3 linked regions of the Diceros bicornis minor genome follow. The protein of the gene in region 2 interacts with the protein of the main gene of each other region in a pairwise test. Links are inferred from orthologs where the notes say so. Each region holds a gene or a part of one and is shown on either strand. Other genes may lie near its edges.

Region 1 (7,410 bases), on a different chromosome or scaffold from region 2:
CTCCTTCGTCCTGTAGACAGGTTACTTATTTTACCCTCAGCCTAGGGTTTCTGGAGGAGGAAGGGGGTTCCCACTGAGGACGTGCTGGACACCCGGAGACCCACGGGCAGCATTTCCACCCGCTCTGGGGAGGGCACCCCAGCCTGGCGGGACCCGGTTTTTTTGTTTGATTTTCACTGCGGCTTTTCAGGGGCAGAGTGTTAGGGGACTTCCCACCTGAGGACAGAACGATGGCATCATGGCACATTCAGGCGGGACTGGGTTTTAGAAAAGGGGGTGCCCTCTCTTTGATTTCCAGAGCAGAAAGCCGCAGTCCATAGCAGTGGGCGGCTTGTAGAGTCGAGTAGCTGGTGGATGGAGGGGCCACCCTGAGCTCAGAGCCCCTTACCCCGTCCCCCCAACCACCCGGCACCCGCTCCGGTGCACCATGCCGATGCCTTTGGGGGCATTCACAACCACCGGTAAATTCTCTTCCTGTCAGACATAACCTGAGAGTGGTGACCTCTCTTTCACATCAGCAAAAAATGGCTCTGCCCTCTGTACTCAACAAATCACATGCATTTTTTTCTTCTTTGACAGTCACATTTGAATTAAATCAGATTTTTAAGTGAAGAAAGCCTTGTGCACGGTTGTCTCTTTTTCATTTTACATTTTAAATGTGAGCTCTTTATTCCCTTCCCTTGGTGCTGGGTGGGTAGGCGTGGAGGTGGCCCCTGCCCCGCCCAGAGCGCACTGGGCACTTCCCAGTGTCCATCCCGCAGAGTCCTCAAAGCACGGGCACCTCAATCCAAACGCTCCACGTCTGCAAAGCCAGCCCCACTCACCAGTCCGATGCCTCTTCCACTGTCTTTCTTCCGGTCGCTGCCAATGCCTTTAGCCTGTAGGGAAGCAGAAGGCAAGGAGCATTCAGAAGCCTGCCTTGCATTCTCAGGGAAGGGATGAGAGAAGCAGGGGCAGCCCTACAACTTGTCGGACCTTCGTATCGGACATATCAGGACCTGGAGGGGCTGGACTGCTAGACTCTGCAGCTGGCAGCTTGAGTGTCCAGGCCTCTGTCCTCCGAGAGGCATCACTGTGGTTTTTGAAAATGCAGACCTGCTCACACCACCCCTGCTCATTTTCCTTCTGGGGATCCCTCCCTGCAGTCCTTGGCACCGAGACCAAGGGCTCATGCCCTGAGGTCCACCCATGCCTGCAACCCCATCTGCTCCACCCTCCCCCATGCACCCTGCACCCAAGCCAGGTGGACCCACTGGCTATGATGGGTCATATCCTCGGCTTGCACACGTGCCTCCCTGCCAAAATGCGGCCCTGTGCTGACATGCCCTCAAAGACATGGCCCTGGGTCTTCTATGATTGTTTACACGTCCCTCCACCAGGAAGTCCTCCCCGAACCGCCCAAGCAGGGTGGACGTGCAGCCCCTCCTGTGTTTCCCCACCACACGTGTGGTCACCTTGCTTCTCATCTCATTGAACTCGTGTCCGTTTGCCTCCCCTACCAGACCATGATGTCCCTAGGCCTAACGATGTCTTACTTATCATTGTAACTGGATGTAAATATATTGAATTGAATTGAACTGAACCTCCAAATTGTACAGAGTGAAACCCGGCTAAGGTAATGCATTCAGGGAGTCGGCCCGGAAGTGGCTGGAATTGTTGAGGAACCCAGTACGGTGCCGCCCAATACCGACGGGATGTGGCCACCTGGATGGGTTTTAACAGGGAGGCCTTGGCTCCAGGCTTCCCTGGGGTGCTCCAGCCTAAGGGAGAAGTTTAAACATGTTTCTCTACCCCCAGCATACGGCTAAGGTTTAAACTAGAAGGAATTTTGGGTATGCGTCCACACTACAGCTTCATTGATGTAATAAAGCCTGGGCTCTAGAGGCACCGAGAATAGGGTTCCTGTCCTGCTCTCTCTGGCCTCAGTGTCCCCATCTGCACCTGTTGGACGATGCCCAGGACGGTGCCCAGCACACGGCAGGCACTCTGCTCGTGCTTGCTTCCATTCCCACTGCACAGACCCCCGGATTATTATGAACATAGTGGTGACGACCGAGTCCTGAATTGGATTGGAGGTGCAAGGGGTCTAGCTTCAAAGTTATTTCATCCACTTGGGTCAGGATTTTTGTTACAATGTTTAAGGAAGGTTTGCCCCGCTCTCAAATCCAAGGTTACCTAAGGGGACTTCTGATGTATTTTCCCATATGAATAAGCATGTGAAAAGGACCAGAACTAAGCAATCAATTTCCCGTGGAAGCTGTAACCCAGGGTCAGGATCATAGTCATTGATTTTGGGGATTTCTCCACTCTCTGAGAGGGGTAACTCCTAAGGTTAAAATCTTCCGTGTGGACGTTTTTCCTGGGTGAGTAGGATTGTGCTGACACTCTTCCGGTAGTTTCTTCATCATTTTGTTTCGTTTTCAGACATTCAAGAGATTTTCCCTAAGCACTAATGGTTTTCCTGCACTGTTTAGAAACACAGTCCCATCTCAACAGGTCCCAGCAATAGAGACTCACTGGGCTCTGGGATCTTTCAAATTAGAGTTTGAAATGTCGTCTCAGAGTCGCCGAGCTGCTCACAGAGACGGTACAACCAGGCCCCAAGCTCCTCCAAACTCTGAAAAATGGGGCTGCCATGGTAATACTTGGTTTCTAATTTTCACAAATTTCAGTGTCCCCCCCATCAACCAGCTGAGTTTGTCTTTAAAAAGAAAGATCAAGTTATTTATAAAAAGCAGAAAAGGGTCTTATTTTGAGACAGTGTCTCATCCTGCGTGGTGTACCCCTTCGACAGGAAGCTGGTGCTCGGAGCTGCCTGCAGTTTCACAGAGGAGCCACGGAAGGGTCAGGCTCGGGGGTCGCAGGCTCCCCTAGCCAGGGCAGTACTCACGCGGTGTGTGCCGGGAAGCCCATCCCCAGGAGGGAGTCCAGGAGGGCGGGGGTGCTGCGGCCCTTGAGCTTGTTGGAGATCTTGGCGTAGAGCTGAGTCTCCCCGGCTGCCATGTCTTCCTGCCTGCAGGCTGAAATGAGTAGATAAAGCCAGAGAGGGAGAGGCAAGAGAGTCTGAAGCTGTGAAGAAAAACCTCAAGCCTTTTTTGATCTTTCTAACAAAAGCTAATATCCTGTTTGCATGAGATACTGGTTTTCAAAAATCTCTTTGTGGGGTGCTGGGGTGCAATATCCACCAAGCCTCTTTCCACAGCGCGGTTTGGGATCCGGAGGTCCAACCAAGCCTTTGCACTGACGTGGGCTGCATTGGGGAGCAAGTCTGCAAGAGAGGGAGAGCGAGGGGGCAGGACGAGGGAGTGGAACCAGGGGCAAGTGTTCTCTACCAGGTCCCACTGACTGTAGAACCCCAAGCGACCCTGGATCTAGTCTCCTTATCTGCAAGCAAGACATTAAACTACGCTGTATCTATTTTCCCTGCTAGCTCTGAAATTTTGGGTTTCTTTAGTTATTCATTGACGTTTTTTTTGATTTTAAAAACTTTTAAAGTTTAATATGCGTGCAGAAAAGTTGACAAATCATATGTGTACAGCTCAATGAATCTTCATAAAGTGAGCACACACACCTAACCTTCCCAGGACCAGCAATTAAACAGTGGTCCTCAACCAGAGGATATTGGCCTCCATCCCCGGGGACCGCTGGCAGTGTCTGGAGACATTTTTGGTTGTCACAACTGGAGGGGATGCTTGCTACTGGCATCTAGCAGATTGAACCCAGGAATGTTGCAGTGCACACGAGAGCAAAGAAGGATCCAGCCCAAAATGTCAATAGCATCAGGGTTGAGAAACTCTGCTTGAGAACATTACCAGAACCTCAGAAGCACCCCTGCTCTCAGCCCCCACCCAGCTTCCTAGTTGTCTCCTCTCTCACCCCAAAAGGTAACCGCTGTACACACTTGCACATTAATTTTGCGTATTTTTGAAACTTATATAAATAGAACCGTACAGCATGTACTCTTTCGTGTCTGGTTTCTTTTGCCTAAAATCACGTGTGTGAAATTTATCCACATTGTTGCTTGTAGCTGTAGTTAGTTCCCTGTATTGCTGTGTAACATTCTATCAGATAAATGCACCATACTTTATTTCTCCATTTCTCTGTTGATGTACATTTGGGTGTGTTTCAGTTATTTTGCTGCTGTGGATGTTCTTGTATACATCTTTTAATGCCCAATGTATGCATTTCTGCTGGGTACACACCTCGGAGTGGGATTTGGGGGTCATAGGATATGTGCAGACTTCATTAAAAACTGCCAAGCAGTTTTACAAAGCAGTCGTTCCAATTTGCCCTCTCGCCAGCAGTGGATGCGAGTTTCACCTGCTCTGCATCCTTATCCATACTTGATACTGTCAGTCTTTTTAGTTTTAGCCAATCTAGGTGTGTGTAGTGGTATCTCACTGTGGTTCTAATTTGCGTTTCCCTGAATGGCAATGACATTGAGCACCACGAGACAGCCTATTGGCCATTTGAAGAACCTCTTTGGGGAAGGGCCTGTTCAAAGCATCTGCCTTTTAAAAAATTGGGTTGTTTGCTTTTTCTTATCAATTTGTGGGAACTCTGGAGATAAGTCTTTTGTTGGATGCATTTAATGGTAATAACTTCTTCCAGGCTGTGGTTTGCTTTTTTAATCTCTTAATAATGTCTTTGAGTGAAACGAAATTTCTTAATTTGAATGAAAACTAATTTATCAATCTTTTCTTTTATGGTTTGAACTTTCTGCATCTTGTTCAAGAAATCATTGTTAACCCAACATTGATGAAGATTGTCTCCTACATTTTCTTTTTGAGGCTTTACTACTTTTACTGTTCATATTTAGCTCTATGGTCCATTTGAATTAATTCTTTGTATGGGGTGAGGTAGGGGTTTATGTTCATTTCTTTCCCCATACCTGTGTTCAATGAAAAGACCATTCTTTGCCCAGTGAATACAGTAGAATGTTCATTATAAATCAGGTGACTGTATATGTATTAGTCTGTTTCTGACTCCATTATGTTCTCTTATTGGATTTGTCCATTTTTGTGCCCATACTACACTGTTTTAATTACTATAGCGTTAAGTCCTCTGATTTTGTCTTCTTCTTCAAGATTGTCTTGGCTCCTCTATGCTCTTTGCTTTTTCATATAAATTTAAAAATCAGGTTGCCATAGTGTGCCATTGGAGAGCACAGAAAGACCCCCATATGTGGTCATTTGATTCCCAACAAAGGGACCAATGTAACTTAATAGAGGAAAGGATAATATTTTCAACAAACGGTGCTGGAAAACTGCATATCGTTATGGGAAAAATATAAATTTCAACCCTTACTTCACATCATGCACAAAAACTAACTCAAATTTATGATGGACCTAAATGTAAAAGCTAAAACTATAAAACTTCCAACAAAAATGTAGGAGAAAATTTTTTGCTACGCTGGAGTTTGAAAGCTTTGTTATGACACAAAAAAATATGAATCATAAAAGAAGAAAATTAAGATGGACTTCATCAAAATTGAAAACTTCTGCTCTTTGACAGACACCATAAAGAAAATAAAAATGTAAGCCACAGACTGGGAGAAAATATCACCGTAGATACCTGACAAAGGACTTGTATCCAGAATATACAGAATATAACATAATGTATTTCTGCATCTATTATATATGTATATTCTCATAATCAATAATAAGAAAAGGAGCAATCTGGTTAAAAAATGGGTTAAGTGGTTAAAGATATGCAAATGGCTAATGAAGACGTGAAAAGATATTCAACATCATTAGTCATCAGGGAAATGTAAATTAAAACCACAATGTGATACCACAACACAGTTAGTAGAAGAGCTAAAATTGAAAAGACTGACAATATCAAGTTTTGACCAACCGTGGAATAATTGGAACTTTCACACATTGTCCAACCACTTCCAGAAAACATAGTCTTATAAAGTTAAACATATTCTTACTATACGACCAATCCACTCTTAGCTATCTCCCTAGGAGAAATGAAAATGCATGACCACACAAAGACTTGTATGTGAAATGTCTGTAGTGGGTTCATTCACAGTAGACCCAAATTGAAAAGAATCCAAAAACATACAACTGTTATAGACTGGTGAATGGATACAAAAATTATGGTACAGTCATGTGTTGCTCAGTGTTGGGTATACGTTCTGAGAAATGCATCGTTAGGCAATTTCAGCATTGTGCAAACATCATAAATCGTACTTACACAAACCTAGATGGTATAGCTTACTACACACTTAGGCTATATGGTGCTAATCTTATGGGACCACCATCGTAAACGTGGTCTGTCATTGACTGAAATGTCGTTATGCAGTGCATGACTGTGTATTCAATCAGTGGGATAACATATATCAATAAAAAGGAAGACATCACTGATTCATAGAAGAACATGGATGAATTTAAAAGAACATTGTTGACTGAAGGAAGCCAAACACAAGATATAGATACTGTACGATTTTATTTAAATGAAATTCTAAAAAAGGTAAAACTGACCTATGAAGACAGAAAGCAGATGAGTGGTTGTCAGGCCAGGGTCAGAGGGAGTTTTTGGGGGTGATGGAAACGTTCCACATCCTGATTTGGTGGTGACCAAATGGATGCATAGATCTTCAAGACTGACTGAATTGAGCACTTAGAATGGGTACAGTTGATAGTGTGTAAATTAAACCTCAATAAAATTGATTTTAAAAAAGGAAAGGGAAGGGGCCAGCCCTGGTGGCCTAGTGGTTAAGTTCCATGCGCTCTGCTTTGGCGGCCGGGGTTTGGTTCCCAGGTGTGAACCTACACCACTCGCCTGTCAGTGGCCATGCTATGGGGGTGGCTGACATACAAAAAAGGGCAAAAAGAGAAGGGTTGGAAGCAGATGTTAGCTCAGGGCTAATCTTCCACAGCAACAACAACAACAAAAAAGTAGATTTTGGGTCTGAAGTGACGGCCTCTACTCAAATATATTTATCTCTTCTAAATAGTAAACTACCTTTTCAGCAATTGTGCTTATAACATATTAAAATGTAAATTTCTCTTTAAAAAAAATCTTACTTGTGTAAGCCAGGAAACGCCCTATCTAGCTTAATCCCTTTTTCTTAGCTTGAAAAGTTATCTTCCAAGGCCAACAGCAAAAAGACTAAAGCTTCCTGACGCAGAATTTCCCCTGTGGCTGACCCCCAAGCCTCCCATCACTCGCTAAAGAGATCAAGGTGGAGACTGAGACTGTGCCTAGAACGAAGCTGTGTGCAAGTGCTTATGAAAGCTTCACAGGTCCTAGGGGAGCCCTCAGGGTAGGATGCCCCTTCTCATACCTCCAAACCAAGACTACTTAAGACTCCGGCTTGGTGAACATCAGATGCCAGCCCTAGGTGTGCTGATTTCTTTTTCCTTAAAATTGTATACTGAGCTTGATGGAACTGATCTGTAG
Region 2 (7,637 bases):
AAGAATGCAGGCTCCCAAGAGGGATGGCTGGGGTTGGAAATCCAGCTCTACCACTTAGGAGCTATGTGACTTTGGGCAGATTAGTTAACTTCTCTGGACTTCAGTTCTCTCATCTATCAAAGAATAGTACCTACTTCATAGTAAGATAATCCATACAAAGCACAGGGCCTGGCACACAACAATGTTGGCTAATAATAATAGTAATAGTAGCAATAATAATAATAATAATAATTACTTATTGGGAGTAAGAGTGCCTGTGTGACCCTGGCCAAGTCACCTCTCTTCTCTGGTGAAGGTCAGTTACCCAGAGAGGATCCTCTCCTGGCTTCCTTCCACCCTCCTTCCCCAATTCTCTTGTATGGAGCCAGGAGGGCTGCCTGGAGGAGGCAGGCTGGCCTACAGTCAGGGCTACCTTGGACCGGTACCACTCCTCTGCCTCGTGCATGTTGCTGGATGCCATTGCCTCGTATTGTGTGCGGATCTCCCTCAGGGCTGCTGTCAGGTCTGGCTTGGCCACATCCAGCTCCACATGGACTTGCTGCTGGGCCAGCTGCTCCTGGAGCTCCCGCACCTCCTGGTCGGGGAGAGAGAAGTGACGCTAGGTCTCAGGGCCCAGGCCGCAACTGGGGTTCCCCCACAGTGTCATGCCCTCTTCTGCCTGCCCCTCAGACGTGGACGTTGGCTAAGGGAAATGGGGCAGTCCTAGTTGGAGGAAGTGGCATGGCCCAAGCTAGAGGAGGCAGGGGGTAGCTTGAGGGCCCCATGGTGTCCTCCTCCCAGGCCCAGACAGGCAGGAGCACTGAAGTGGCCTGTATTCTCATGGGAGAGTGACTAAGTCCCTACGGGTAGGTGTTCCTGTAAGGGTTCCTAGGTTCCATGGGATCACGGATTCTGAATCCATAGTCTGAGGTCAGAGCTCAGTGGGATCTTTTTTTATGAATGACTCTCATTTAAATGAGACAGATGGCAAATGGGTGGAGTCAGAAAGACTAACTGTGTGACCTTAATAGGTTCTTTAACCTCTCTGGGCCTCAGTGCAAAGGAGATAATACTGGAAGGGTTTCTGTCTCAGGTCTGTAGCGAAGAAAAATATGAGGTTCCCTTGTCTGTCTCTATCTTTGTCTCCCTCAGGCTCTCTCTGTATCTCTCTCATTTTCTTTCTCTGTCTCTGAGTATCTCTCTCAGTCTCAGTCTCTTTGTCTCTCTCTCAATTGCAGTCTCTGTGTTGGGATTTCCCCCCTGTGTCCTGGCCTCACCTCCTCATGTATCTTCCTCAGGAACCGGATTTCCTCTTCCAGAGACTCAATCTTCCTCTCCAGATCCAGGCGGGCCAGAGTGGCTTCATCTGCCTCCTGGAGTAGGGAAGGTGCAAAGGACCACTCTGACACCAGACTCCTCTTCCCCATTCTCTAGCCTTGTCTTACCCCTCCTTTTGGGTTGGGGAGAGCAACACATTGCTCTGGAGGGCTGGGCTTGGGTGGGCTACCATCAACACTCTCCCCCCACCATTTGCCCCCCCGCCAACCCCCTGACCTGTCGATAGGCAGCCAGGTTGTTCTCGGCCTCCAGTCTCAAGTTGGTTTCATCCTGGAGCCTGGGGTGGGGGGACACATTCCTTTTCTGAGGACTCTTGGATCCCTGCCTCAATCTCTCTGGAGGTGGCTGCCAGAGAGACCCCCCCAGGACTGTGGAGTAGCAGGAGGAGCGAGGGTCAGAGGGGTCCTAGATGGAAGCCTTGGCCAGGAGGGTGAGCAGATGAGGGCCTTTACTTTACCTCATTAGCAAGGGGCCTTATCAGGGGTGATGCACCCGCTCCTGCTCATGCAGGCGCTTTCACCAACACACACCCACTACCGAGTGCACAAACCCGAGTCCTCCTGCCCTTGAGGGCTCATGCGCGTGCCCTGACAGCTCAGCAAAGCATCCTGCCCCTGTGGTTCCCTCTGACCTTTGGAAATGGGTTTTATGAAGATCTTGGCTTCACAGATGTGAAGTTGAAGTGCCTTGACTAGGGTCATAATCTAGTGACAGGCAGAGTCACCACGTTCTGAAGCGAGCCCTGCCTACTCTTTCTCCCACTTCCTTTACCCAGAGCCCAGTCCTCCCAGTGCACACCAACCTTCCCTTCCAACTCCTCCTTCATACAGGTCTGGGCTCAGAGTCCGCCAGCTCCCCGCCCAGAGTCACAAGGCCCCGCAGTGAATGAAATGCACAGACCCTGCCTGCTGGGGTCCCTGACTGCCTCTGCACAGCTCTCCCCAGTGGGGAGGTCCTGAGAGTACCCTGGCTCCCTGGAATCAGATCCCTGAGGCTCTGGGCCTCCTCCCAGCCCCTCCCATCATCTTGGGGAGCAAGGAGAGCCTTCCCCTCCCAGAAGTGGGAAAACTGGGGAGCAGGGAGGCAGAGCTCCCTGCGTGAGACTCTGAAGGCCTGCAGGCACTCTCTCTTGGGGGCTCAGTCCTCCCTGTTCATGAGGCCCCTCTCCTCCGGCCCCCTCCTCACTTCTGCCTCAGAGTGCCCAGGTCCTGCGCCAGATTGTCCCTCTCGACCTCGAGCCGGGCGCTGTTGGCAGTGAGTTGATCAAGCCGCAGCCGCAGTTCACGCAGCTCAGCCTGGTAGACATCGGCCAGCTTGGTGGGCTCCTTGGCCCGCAGCTGGTTCAGCTCGGCAGCCAGCGCCTTGTTCTGCTGTTCCAGGAAGCGCACCTTCTCGATGTAACTGGCAAAGCGGTCATTGAGCTCCATCATCTCTGCCCGCTCACTGGCCCGGGTCTCCTTGAAGCCGGTGTTGAGTGCCCCGGCCAGGGAGAAGTCCACCCGGGTCGGGAGTGGAGGTGGCATTCGAGCAAGAGAGAGGCGGGTGCCAGGACCCAGGCGGCGGCCTGCCACCACCTCTGAGGAGAAGACATAGGAGCGGCGAGCAGCCGAGGTGGCGCGTCTCCTCTCCATCCTGGCCTGGCTCTGCTTGCTCCTGGGTTGCGAGGGCTTTATGGAGGAGTGGGCCGGCCTGGCACTTCCCAGGCTGCCCCTGGCAACGCCCCCTGGCATAGCCTGAGGGGGTGGGGCTGGGCCGCAGCCCAGCCATGGGGAGAGCTCCTCTCACCCCACAGAGGTCACTGTGTCCAGAGGCAGGGCCTCCTGGGCACGCCAGTCCCCACCCCTTGCCGCAGACAGAAGTACTGATGGGCAGTGCCTGGGACCTGATGCTGGGTCTGGGGCCTGACCACTGGGCAAGGAGACTCTCACTCTAGGAAGGCGGGTCAAGAAAGGGCTGGACCGGATGACCTCTGACCTGCCTTCCAACTCTTAGATCCCATAACCCAGGCCTTCTCTCACTGAGCCTCCTCCTTTGAGTGCCTGCTAGGTGCCGGAAATTTAGCAAAGAACAAACCTATTCCACACCCTCAAGGAACAGCCTATGTTACAGTTCCTACTGAGCCCCGTTCCCAACAGATTGCTGGAGTCCTCCTCTCTGAATGCAGACATCCCCCATTCCTGCTTTCTCCCCATTCCCTGTGTTCTGGGGCTGTGGGTTGGAGTTGGACACCAGCCCTTTGTCTGGAGGGTCAATTGAGACCTCTCTTTAGCAGTGGGGGGATGATGGAAGGAGCGTGGAAACCCCGATAGGGCAAGAGGGGGCAGGTACTACACTCTCTGGCCCTCTCCCAGGGCCACTCTTAAGCCCCTGCCTCAGTCCCATTGGCCTCACCCCTCCCTCACTCAGCCTTCCTGCACCCCTGCCCCAGCCTAGGCCTTGACATCTCCACAAAGCAGTTATGAATGAGCTGGCTGTCCTGACTCCCATCTTGTTCCTGCGTCACCCTGTTTCGCTGGCCACTCCTCACCTCACTCTCACACTGGAGATTTATCTCCTTTGAGTTCCCACGCATGAGGCAGAGAAGATGGGAAGGGCCCTGGGGACGGGTGGGTTAGGAGTCACTGGGTCCAAACTGGGAGCCCGGGGCCAGGGCCCTGTTGCTCTTTGAGACTTCAGATCCATCCACCCCTTCTACTCTGGTCCCACAGGGTCAGCTTTCCACCCAGGCCCCTCACCCATCTATGTCCTTGGACTTCTGGGAAGTGGGCAGCGTTCCTCTCCCCACCTCCCTCTGCCCACTGCCCATGCCTGGGCCTCTGCTCCCTTTTCCCGGGCACTTGCTGAATGGAGCCTTGTTCTCCACTGCTGGTGAGGGCGCCGCACAGCAACGGCAGCCCCCGGGGGGCTGTGCTGTTTTTGTCCCAAGATGCCAGGCTGTTAGGCGGAGTGCAGCCTAAGCCCCCTGCTCAAAGAACTTCTCGGAAAACATCTGAGGGGGCTGGGGTGCAGTGGGGAGCAGGCTCTGTGCCCACTCCCGACCATTGTGTCCGTGCCAAGGTGAGTCATTCAGTGGGCACCAGGGGAAGGCCCTGGGGGGCAGCCAGCCCCGCTCTGCCAGGTCTTCAACTCTGCAGAAAAGGCCTGGCTGCTCGCCCCCTGCCCAGCTCTCAGAGCCAGCTCAGGCCCCTGAGCTCCTTTTGCGGCAATGCCCCTACCCCACGCCCGGGAACATGCTCTCCACTTGAGCATGTTATAGGCTGCTTGTAGAGGTTCCCCCCGGTGAGTCCCAGTGCAGAGAGAGGAGGCGAGAGTCTCTAAGTCTCTGGCCGCACCCAACCCCAGGGGCTGAGCAGTGACATAGGGAGGGGAGTCTTGAGGAGGGGACACCCGGTGACTTTTGATCCTGCTGTGGGTTGGAGAGCTGGGGAAGGACAGGGGGCATTGAAGGAAGAGCAAGACTGGGAACAAACCCTCGTCCCAACTCCTCTCTGTGACTACAAGTGTCTGCCCTTCCAGCCTGCAGGGCGAGTCAGTGGCCTCCTCGCTTCCTTCATGTGAAGTCTAGTTGAAATGAGTGCAAAGCAGTCCTGGAGGGGAAAGACATAGCAAGAGCAGGAAGGGCTTGTCAGCCACGCTCAGTGGATTGTACCTGTGTGTGCGAGACACAGGCTTGTGTCAGCAGCAGCAGATGGAGGCCCCCAGCCTTCACCTCCTTCAGTCACCTCCCTGGGCCCCTGTCACAGGCCCAGGCTTTCTGCCTCCGTCTTCAACCCCCATCTGACCCTCAGACCCATCCCCACACTCAGCCTTAACTATCTAAAGATGTCCACACAGAGAACCAAAGAGGTAGACAGGCTTGGTTGTGGGTGTTTGCCAAACTTTCATTATTTTTACACATTCTTTGTAGAAACATCAGAAAATACAGATAAGCAAAACAAAAAAATAATAATTAGCCATTATTTTGCCACCTGGAGATAAACACTACCAGATTTTTTTCTACACATATAAATTCATTTTACAAGTGGGCTCATGCTGTACAAATTATTTTGTAATTTGCTTTTTTCACTCAACAATATGTTGCGAACATCTTTCCATATCAATAAATATTTATCTACATCATCATTTTAACAGCTGCATGGTTTTCCACTGTATGCATTGATTTAACCAAGCCCTGTTGTTGGACAATTATGTTCTCTCTCTCTTTCTCTCTCTCTCTCTCTCTCTCTCTGTTCTGGATCACACTGTGATGCACATCTGCCCCAGGCAGACCCACCTCCCGGCTTCCAACGCTGCCCCCATCCTTCTGGCCTGGCTCAGGCCCCATCTACATAGGGTCTCTAGCTCTGCAGAAAAGGCCTGGCTGCTTGCCTCCTCCGCAGCTCTCAGAGCCAGCTCAGGCCCCTGAGCTCCTGTCGGGGCAATGCCCCTACCCCACGCCATGGGAGATGCTTTCCCATCCTCTCCTGCTTCCCCAATCTGAGGGCCTCAACATCCGAAGCCTCAAGCCAATCCTGGACTGACTTCTGGACTAGACAGCAGAAGCTGTGGGCCATGGAGAAAGGATGCCTAGACGCCCCTCCACAGGGCCTTCAGCCAAGCCATGCCCCACTTCAAGCCGAGGTGGGGAAAAGATGATCTTTTACCCCCTGTGCCAGGATGCCCTCCTGCCTGTGGGGCAGAGCCCACATGCTTCCTGGGACAGACCAACACCACATCCGGCCTCAACCCACACACAAGTTGCCCAGCATTTTCCAAATTTGCCAGCCTCTAATTCAAGTGGCTATTTTGCCACTGGACTGCTGCCCACTGGCTCTGCTTGAGCCCCTGCCCCTCTCCAGTGCCTGACATAGCTTGGCGGTCAGCAAGCGTGGGCGGTACGAAGAGAACGTGGGTCTTCCTGGCCCACCCCTTGGTGGTGGTTGAGTCCATCCATTCCACGGCCCATCCCTGAGGAAGGGAACTGGGCCCCGGTGGCCACTAGATGGCAGTGCTCAGCTGCTGAGGTCTGAGCGGCCGCCAGGCCACAGCCGTTTAGAAGCAGGGAGAAAGCCAGTCTCACAGCTGTGGGCAAGCTTTCTAAACCCAAATTTGGATCACCCAGGGGGATCACCCCGTTTCTTCTCTGGAGTTGCCTCTGACTGCCATGGCAGTGCCCTCTAGGGGACAGAGAAAGGCAGTGGCCACGCAATAGCTGTATGATCTTGGATGACTTCAGGAAACTTCTCTGAGTTTCCATTTCCACAACCGTAAAATGAGGACTTGTCATCCTTACTTCCAAGGTAGTTGTGAGGATAAAATCAGTGAAAGCTGGACACAGCAGGTGCTCAAGAAGTCATAGCTTCCATTTAATAACACCATCCGGGTGCTTTGCCTACCTTCACAGTAGCACGTCTGTGATGGGGTGGGCCCCGAGGGGTGGGAGCTGCGTCTTTGGGGGTAGGGGGCAGCAGCCAGAGGAGAGAGGGTGAGAGTCAGCACCGTTTGCCCCCAGGCGACTAGTTGTTCGTGGCTTTGGGTCTCCCAGGGGACATATGCACATGATCTCCAACTGCCCCGGAGGAGACTCAGAGTAGAGGCTCTTTCCCAGCCTTCTCTCTCACCTCGCTGACTCCCCTGGTGGGATCCGTCCCTCCATCCTTGCCCTTCCCCAACCCTAGACTTGAGGCCACAACTCCATCTGGTCTGAGAAGCTTTTGGTGTGTCAGCATCTCCCGTGGGTGTGGGTCTCCTCTGCACCTCAGCCTGAGGCATCCCAAGGAGAGGGGCCATGTGTCTCTTGACGGATGGGGGCTTCCAGATGCTAGGACCTGTGTCTTCCCTTCAGAATGGGAACTCCCTAAGGATACGGTCTGTCTCCCGCTTTAGACTAAGGCACCCATAGGACAGAAGCCATCTCTCCCCTTGGAGGGAGCTTCCTGATGCGAGAACCCATGGTTCACTGTCAGGTGGGAGCTCCTTGAGGGCAAGGGTCGTCTCCTGCTCTCAGTCAGAGGAGGGCTGCCTCAGTCCAGCGTTAGGTCCTTCTCCACTCCTCAGCCTGTGCCCAGCCAGGCTCTGCTGGTTAGAAGCGCCCAACTCCTGTGGCTGCAGAAGGGTTCCTGGCTGAACCTCTAGACTCCTTCCCCTTCCTCTTCCCTGGCCCCTCAGCACATCATCGTTGGAGGCATCAGCTCACTCACCTTCACAGACCCAGGGGTCAGGCTGCTGCGCTGGGGTTAATAAGCTCGAGCTCTTTCTCCCCGCTCTTCTCCCCTCAGCCAGGGCCCACTCCAGCATGCCCCCCACATCCCAGCCTCTAACTCTGAGACTGGCTTTTTAAT
Region 3 (7,935 bases), on a different chromosome or scaffold from region 2:
ATGCAATATGGCTGAATATATGCTTTCTCCTCTAACAAAAATAAAGGGGGGCCATAGAGTTGTTGTGAGGCTTAAATGAGCAAGAGAGAGAATGCTTAATAAAAGTGCCTGACCCTGTTTTGGATCATAGCGGGTGCTCGATAAATGCCTGTTTCTTGATTTCTTCCTTCTGTCCTTCTCTCCCTGCACCTTTTTCTTGTCTTCTCCCTCCCTCCTTCCCTTCATCTATCTCTCTCTCTGTTTTCTTTCTCTGGCATAAAACTGATGATTTTGATCTTTATTTAATTAGAAAATTGATAAAAGCAAGTCTAATTGTATGAACTCACAAAAATTTTCAATGATTTTTCTTTGCTCTCAGTATTTTTCAAGTAGCTTAAGGACACACGGCAAGGTAAATATTTAGGAAAATTTTTATTGTTAGTAAAAATTTGAATAAACAAATCTTATATAAAACTGCCTGTTATAATTCTCCTTAATTATTTTTTAAAAAATCCAACTAATGGGGCAGCTTGGTAGGGACAGAATGTTCTGCAAGGAGAAGTTACGGGGTAATGTGGTTCAGCAGACTCAAAAACTCACTTTCAGTGACTCGACTGAGGCAAACATAAAAGTTCTCTTTGTTCTTAGCTGTCACTCTTTTTCACCCACAGATACTGGCATCTATGTGGGGGAGAAGGAAGGATTTCTGCTATCTGCACCCCTTCCGGTGTCCCTTTGACTCTCCATTTCATTTCACTCCTTCTAGAATTGCATTCAGAATAAAAATTTATTAGAGCAAATGTGAAAGGAGAGAGTGAGCTTTATTACTTAGTCCTGCACACGTTCTTCACCCAACAACTCCAAGTCAGCCTTCCCTAATCCATTTCAACCCATTTCCCCCTCCCCACAGCCGGAAGCCAGAACGGTAGAGTTGTGAGTGGGCTGCATAAGTGCGGTGAAGGGAAGAAAATAGTTCTGCCAACCTTCCAGCCCTACTATTAAGCAGATTTAATGTGCCACAGGAGTCTCACAATAACTCATTTTCATTTCCCACATTAGCCTCAATTTGGTCATGATCATACTTCTTTGTGGGAGGGGTGTTCCATTCTTACTACACCTTGGTCGTTACCATTTCAAGATCCCACTGCCCCACTGGAAACTGGACTTCAGCCAGACAAATGAAACAGTGTTAGGGGAGCTGACTCCGATGTTACTTCTCTCTTCTGAGATTTTTGTTCAGAATACTTGTTTCTTGCTCTCCTACTTCCTTTTCCTAACATATTAGTTTTCGGATAACTGGAGATTTTTCATTTGTAGGAGATTACATATTCCAATAGGAATGCCACACAGAGTAGGTGCTGTCAATCTCACAATTCCTAGAAGAATCATTGCCCTGGAGATGCTTTGCTTCCTCTGAACTTTGAGGAATTAGGATCCCCACACCCATACCCATCAGAGTTATGCACCATTTGCCTCCAAGTTTCTCTAGCCCTTTATCCAGGCTACTATGAGTCACCTGCATCATTTCAACTGATTAACAGACCTTATTCCTCCCTTATTGTTCTCTGGCAAATGCATCTTTCCAAAGACAACCATGATTTGATTTTGTTACAGGGCAAAAGGGAATATTTTTTATTACTATTTCTCGCTATTTCAGCATGTTCTTCATATTCCAATACTGCCACATGCAATTCCAAAGAAACCAACTTTGCATTCTCATTTTATTATCTTCTCCTTCCTTGTTTTCTCTCCACTTATACACTCAAACTAGAAAACATCCAAGATATAGGTGCACTGATTTTACTTCTCTTAACTTATAAAATAGAGGCTTTGAAAGAAATTTTCAGCTTGGGTAAACAAATATCTAAAATTAACCAGTTTAAACAGAAGATGTAGTGGTAAGGTTCTCTCCTAATTGCAGATGAACCCATTATGAATGGCATGCACTTAACTCAAATTACAGAAACACTCACCATGCAGGGAGCAAACCATCATCTTGGATGAAACTACATTTATTTTTCATTGCAATTTTCAAATATCAGCAATCTCAAGGGTTGTGAACTCTACTTTGCAAATGTTAAAAAGTCCTCATCCTAATGAAAGTAGCATTCTAATAAATATATTTAGAGAAATCCCACGGTAGGCAAAGTGCTGTTCAAAGTATTGAGAAGCCGTGTTTGAAAAACACTGTCTCAGAGAGCGGATGGCACCATCAGTCCAGAGCTGAGAAATCCACTCACAGCAGCTGAACCCTCTCTTCCCCGGGAGTCAGTAAAATCCATTACACACCCCGCCCCACCGTTTTCAAACCCAGACACAGACACTGAAACAGACAGATGTTGACATCATCCTCCACTTAAACAGTATCCACACTTTACAACACGGCAGCAGCAGTCCCTCCATATTTTGCCACAATTAGTCACTTGCATTCAAACTGCCCGAAAGAAACATACCTTTTTGCTCCAGCGAGAAATCCTATGGATGTTCGACCAGTGGTCAACCTAGCAATGAAAGGACAGCTAGTTGTTTTCAAGAGAAAAGTCTCAGCTTGGTGAATCTTGCTTCTTTGCAAGAAATGGGAATGCAAAATAAGTCTGACCATTCAACAGAGCGGTACTGACAAGCCCCTTTGGAACCTTCACCACTTTCACGAGTCACGAAGCTGCTCAATTCAGTATCACAGCGGCAGCTGAGACTACTGTGACGTCAGTGACCCGGAGGCGGCATTCCAGCCACCGCTTCCAACCAGAGCTCTGTAACTTTAGAGCAGCTCGTACTCTGGGTAAACAACTCCACGTCCAGGACATTTTTAGCTTTTATCATGGAGCCGAGCATTTTCAAACTCTCCAAAAGAGCTGGTGTTAACAGCACACAAAGACAGTGGCCCATTTTAGATTTCTTTTATTTGGAAAAGTAAACTCCTTTTTTACAGTCAAGAATTATCTCCTTGCATCTCTCTCTTTCCCCTTCTCAGCTCGTGTCAGAATGCACTTTTCAGTGCCTTTAGAAGTTGGTGTCTGGATGTGGCAGAACAACACATGTAGCAATTTTATAGATATATGATCTCAAAAGATTTGTGATCTCAAAAGATATATAGGATCTCAAAAAGATTTAAAAACTTCTGTCTTTAAATAAAATAGAAATGGGACATATACAAACACCAACCTCCTAGCTCTTTGTGATTCTATGACAGCTTGCTTCCTATATCTACAGTGGTAGTAATGTCTTTCTGCTAGAAAAAACTGGAGCCCATGGGAAAGGATGATACTTATTAAGGGAAGGAAAAAACCAATGAGATACTCACATGCTTGTTTTCAACTGAGGTGTGCTGTAGCCCAAGTGTATGGAGAGGCTCCCTAAACCATAACCAGATCCATCTGTCCTGGAAATCCCCCCCAGCAACATTTCCAGGTTGTGTGTGAACTTGTACACACATGCATCTGCTCATGTTTGGTTTAATGGAGTTAAAGGAAGCATCTACAGCAATTTGTGTCTAATTCTCAAAATAACCTAGATAAGAGTTTAAATAATAAGGCTTATCATCAAGTCTGAAGAACTTTCTCTGTGTGGTCGTTAAAGCATTACATCTTCACTTTCACATTATTTTTGCTTGCTTTCAGATAAATATTTCATGGGGAGCTAAAAAGTTTAAGAATAATAACCTGCTCATAGTAGGACATTAGTACATGTAGGACAATTGAATGAAATCATACTCTGTGTCTTGAAAGCCTGGCATCATAATCTCAAAATCAATAACAACAACAATAACAGTTATAGTACTAATAGTGATTACTCATGGAGGGATAGCTCTCTGCAAGTCTCTGTGCTAAGTACTCTGAATATATCTTTATCATAGCTCACCCTCAGAGCAACTATGTCTCTAAGTATTGTTAACCCAATCTTACTGATAAAACGGTGACTCAGAGAGGTAATGTAGTTTGCGGAAGTGCACAGAAACGCACACCCATGCAGAGAAGTAGGGATTGGAACCAGTTTCTTGCAACTCTGAATTTTGTCACAGAGATCTTGGTTTCAATCCCACTGCCACCAATTATCTGTGTGAACTTTGAGTTTCTGTTTCTTCTGTAAAGGGATAATCATATTTACTTCATGAAATTGTTGTAAGAGTATGAGTGCCGGGCACACAAGTTATGTTAGCTCATTTCTGCCTCCATCCTTATGAGGACAGGAGGAAGATCCTGGGGGGATTGCCTCAAAGCATCTCTACAGAATTACCTAATAACAGTGTTCCCCCTACCCTCTCTTCCTCTCTAGATTTCTTAATTTCCACGTGTCCTTTGTAAAATTAAGACTGTTTCTAAATCCTATCAGAACTTCAGATAATATGTGGCTAAGTTATAGGAGAAATTATGTTGAGCTATACTCTATACTATCACTCAATAGTACCTATTTCACTGCCCTTTTTCATGGATGTCCCAGTAATTATTTACTGCAGGGGATTCGTTTGTTTTTTATCATGGTAAAGTTGACACAAAATTATATATAGATTCAAAAACTAGGGAAAGACTTTGACAAGAATTTCACTCCAAGTCTACCACTTATTCTAGTATTTACAAACCCTTTCTGTTGAATTTTTAAAAATATATATTAGCTAAAATTTCCATGCTATATTTCATACCCAAAAGAAATAAAGTCACACAATTAGACGATGGCATACGAAGGCAATAAATATTCTGCACAGGTATTTTTGAACCTTTCCACTAAAAGCTTTTGTTTTAAGAAAAGTTCTTACTGTTACGTACATAAAATGAAGGGATTTAAAAGACTGATGCTGGTGTACTCAGCCATATAGTGATATTCAGAGTTAAATAAAAGTCCCTGACATTTTCAAGCAGATGTCAGAATGCTGAAAATCTTATGGAAAAGATGCAATTTGTTACATAATCCAGGCTACTTTTAAACCATTTAAATATTTAAACCTTCAAATACTAAATTGACCCAAATGATTGCTCTATGTATTGGAGAGAATTTGGAAGAATCCGATGACACACTAATCCTATTTCAATGCATAACAAATATGTAAAAATAATGTGTATAACAAGACAGTGTAAAGTAAATGTAGAAACAACAGCTGCTGTCAAGAAACAAAAAAGAAAATCCTGGAGAGGATGTGAAAAGGTCTATATGAATAATGATATTAAGCCACAAACTAAAACATTTTGGAAAGAGTGAAAAAGGAGTACTGAGTGCATAAATGTCACTAGCAGGTGTTCCCAGACTTATAGAAATTTAGAGCCAGAAAGAACCTCTGAAATCATCTAGCCATCCTTCTCATTTTACAGCTGAGGAAAGAGGACCTGATGTTAAGTCATTTGCCCAAGGTCACAAAGCCACTTACTAGAAATGCCAGGAATAGAAGCCAGGTCTTCTCATTCCTCGTGGAGTGCCTTGAAGTTCAAAATTCCAAGGAGTTCAAGGGAAGGGGATAGAATAAAGGGATAAGAGTTTTGGTCATAAGAGGTTGATTTCTGGCTTTGTTAAATTTTAAATTCAGTTTTCTTCTAAGTTCAAATGAGGGAGATGATACTCCATCTTCCAAGTATAACATAGGAGTCATATAGCAGAGTATTTATCTTGATGACTATTTATCTAAAGAGGCTTGTGTCTTCAGCTATATAAATCCTGGGTCAAAATACGAAGACAAAAGGATTTTAACTTAGTGGTTGAAAAAAAATCCAGGGATAAATGCACCAACTTTGCCTTTAGCATGCTAGTACACATTTAATTTACAGTATCCTGTTGGCAGGAAAATCTTGAAGCATCACAAAGCAGTTATTTATTTAATCTCTTAATGCTATGATGACACTGGCTGTGCATGAGACTGGGTGGCTTCTGACTTCTTGCTTGTATAGTTTTTCAGTCCTTTCTTGCTTTACTCTTTAAAGATATTTACCAGTAAAGGGGTACTGTATTTCTACTTTCATTGAAAAGGAGATGGAAAAAATTGGAAAAAAGATGACTTTGAAAAACTGAACTCATTCTTATGCATATTAAAATTTAGAGGCTATTATAGGTGACATATTTTAAATAATCCTTCCTTCTAGAATAATGTTTGCTCTTTGCAGTTTTCAAAGCACTTTACGATATATGATATCAGTTGTTTAGTAGAAGTCTCTTGAATCTTAAATTATCTTCCATTCCTAGGGAGAGGTCTTGGACACTCCAATTAACATTTCATTTAACAAATATTCATGAGCCAAGTCTGTGCCAGGTGTAGTGTTAGATCCGGAGGACTGGAAGAAGAATAAGACATGTCCTTGTCCTCAGCAAGCTAGGTCAACTCTGAAGATCCCTGAAATGTGACCTACAGCATGACTGCCCACATCCTGAATAGCTCACTACCTTGAAATAAATTTACAAACAAATGCGGAGAGCCCCTTCCATAGTCGCCACAGCATTACTTCAAGGGGACAGTATAGTGTTACTCTCAGCCCTTGCTGTATAGCACAATCACTCAGAGAATTATTTAAAGAATTACTAATGCTGGAACTTTCCCCCAGACTTTCTGAATCAGACCATTCAGTGGTGTGGCCCAGGTTTCTTAATTTTTATAAAGTTGCACAACTGATTCTGTCAAATTTAATCCTGTGTTGAGTCCTAGAATGGCAGAGTTTGGACTCTGTGTTAGTAAAAGAAACATAATCTTGATATTTACAAGAATCTGTTTTGGGTTATAAAATTATGAGAGTCACACACAGAGTATTTATCACCCATGGAAGTTACATATTTAGATTGCTGTGTTTCAGCTAATGTGCTATTTTCCCAGGGCTGGATGTTTTCCCCCTAGAATCATGGGATGCTGGCTCTCTCTTCTATTCTGAGGGCTGGTAACATGTCAACAGATTTTTCAGCCAAGCAGATCTGTCATGGGGCTTATGTACAGGCATTTCCAGATGACAGAAATATTCAAAAGAAACAGTTTCAAGCTATTTGTTCTTTTTAAATACTGGTCTGTATGCTGAGGAAACAAAACAATAAAACATTTGAGAAATGTGGGATATTTATTAAAACTAGAGACAGATCTTGCTTGTTTTCAAATTTGTTTTTAGCATCTCATTATATTATTTCTAGATTCTTGAATTGGGAGATGTTGCTAATGATGACAACAAAATCTAAATAATAAAGGGACAGTTCTAGGGCTACCTCTCATTCCAGAAAAGGGCCTTGGGAATGTCTGTCCACCACAAGAGGGCACCCTGAGTCACTCCTCTCTGTTAGGTAGTTCTAGCAGTGAAGGAGGGCTAAGAGAGGCTATTTAGCAAGTACAATTTGAAGGACACAGTAATTAATCCCTACTCTTCCCGCCCCATAGAGTTGCTAGCCCACCTACATCATCTCCCAGAAATGTTAGATTTATCACTATTAGGTAATAGCATTATATTTTCAGTAACTGTCTAATAACGTGCCATTGGCAGAGGATGCAGTTACTAGCTATCACACCTTGGCACAGAAAAGAACAGCTAACACACAGAAAGGACTGGAAGGGACAAGTCAATATACGTAAGTTTTGATTGGAGCCCGCAAAACAAATCTGTTTTATTCATGGGGCATGGAGTATGGATAGGGAGGGAAGATCAGAATGAGGAACTGTATGAGCGTGTGCTAGATTTTGAGGAGTTCACATGAGAAGTCTTGGTGCTCAGGTGAAAAGACACATGGCATCATGACAGGAGATCCGGAGATGAGGGTACAGAAAGGGAGGCCCAAAGTCACACTTCAGTATAGCCTTGGGCCCACTCTGATCAGAGGACTTCTGCAGAGCCAGTCAGAACATTCGCCACACCAAGGTCTCCGGAAGTCCACACGAGACTGTAAACACAATACTTTGATGGCTGAGCCTGGCCCTTACACTCTATTCTTCTGTTGTTATTGTTGCCATTGAAATATTTTGCATGATCAGATGCCTATAATTTCATTCTTTCTTTTCCAACCATT

What was found.
Region 1: the proteins of GFAP (region 2) and UBASH3A interact in binary tests that used the Homo sapiens proteins (3 or more experiments, as listed by UniProt). The link is inferred for Diceros bicornis minor from reciprocal best matches to the Homo sapiens genes GFAP and UBASH3A.
Region 3: the proteins of GFAP (region 2) and KIAA0408 interact in binary tests that used the Homo sapiens proteins (3 or more experiments, as listed by UniProt). The link is inferred for Diceros bicornis minor from reciprocal best matches to the Homo sapiens genes GFAP and KIAA0408.

Annotation. Positions count from the first base shown.
Region 1 is NC_080766.1:42,106,216-42,113,625, reverse strand, and holds the start of UBASH3A (ubiquitin-associated and SH3 domain-containing protein A), read right to left. Parts: upstream 3,012-7,410; 5' UTR 3,004-3,011; coding exon 2,891-3,003; intron 879-2,890; coding exon 825-878; intron 1-824. UniProt on the Homo sapiens protein: Interferes with CBL-mediated down-regulation and degradation of receptor-type tyrosine kinases. Promotes accumulation of activated target receptors, such as T-cell receptors, EGFR and PDGFRB, on the cell surface.
Region 2 is NC_080757.1:43,359,548-43,367,184, forward strand, and holds the start of GFAP (glial fibrillary acidic protein), read right to left. Parts: upstream 3,013-7,637; 5' UTR 2,949-3,012; coding exon 2,503-2,948; intron 1,595-2,502; coding exon 1,534-1,594; intron 1,353-1,533; coding exon 1,257-1,352; intron 575-1,256; coding exon 413-574; intron 1-412.
Region 3 is NC_080762.1:10,196,140-10,204,074, reverse strand, and holds the start of KIAA0408 (uncharacterized protein KIAA0408 homolog), read right to left. Parts: upstream 3,012-7,935; 5' UTR 2,582-3,011; coding exon 2,433-2,581; intron 1-2,432.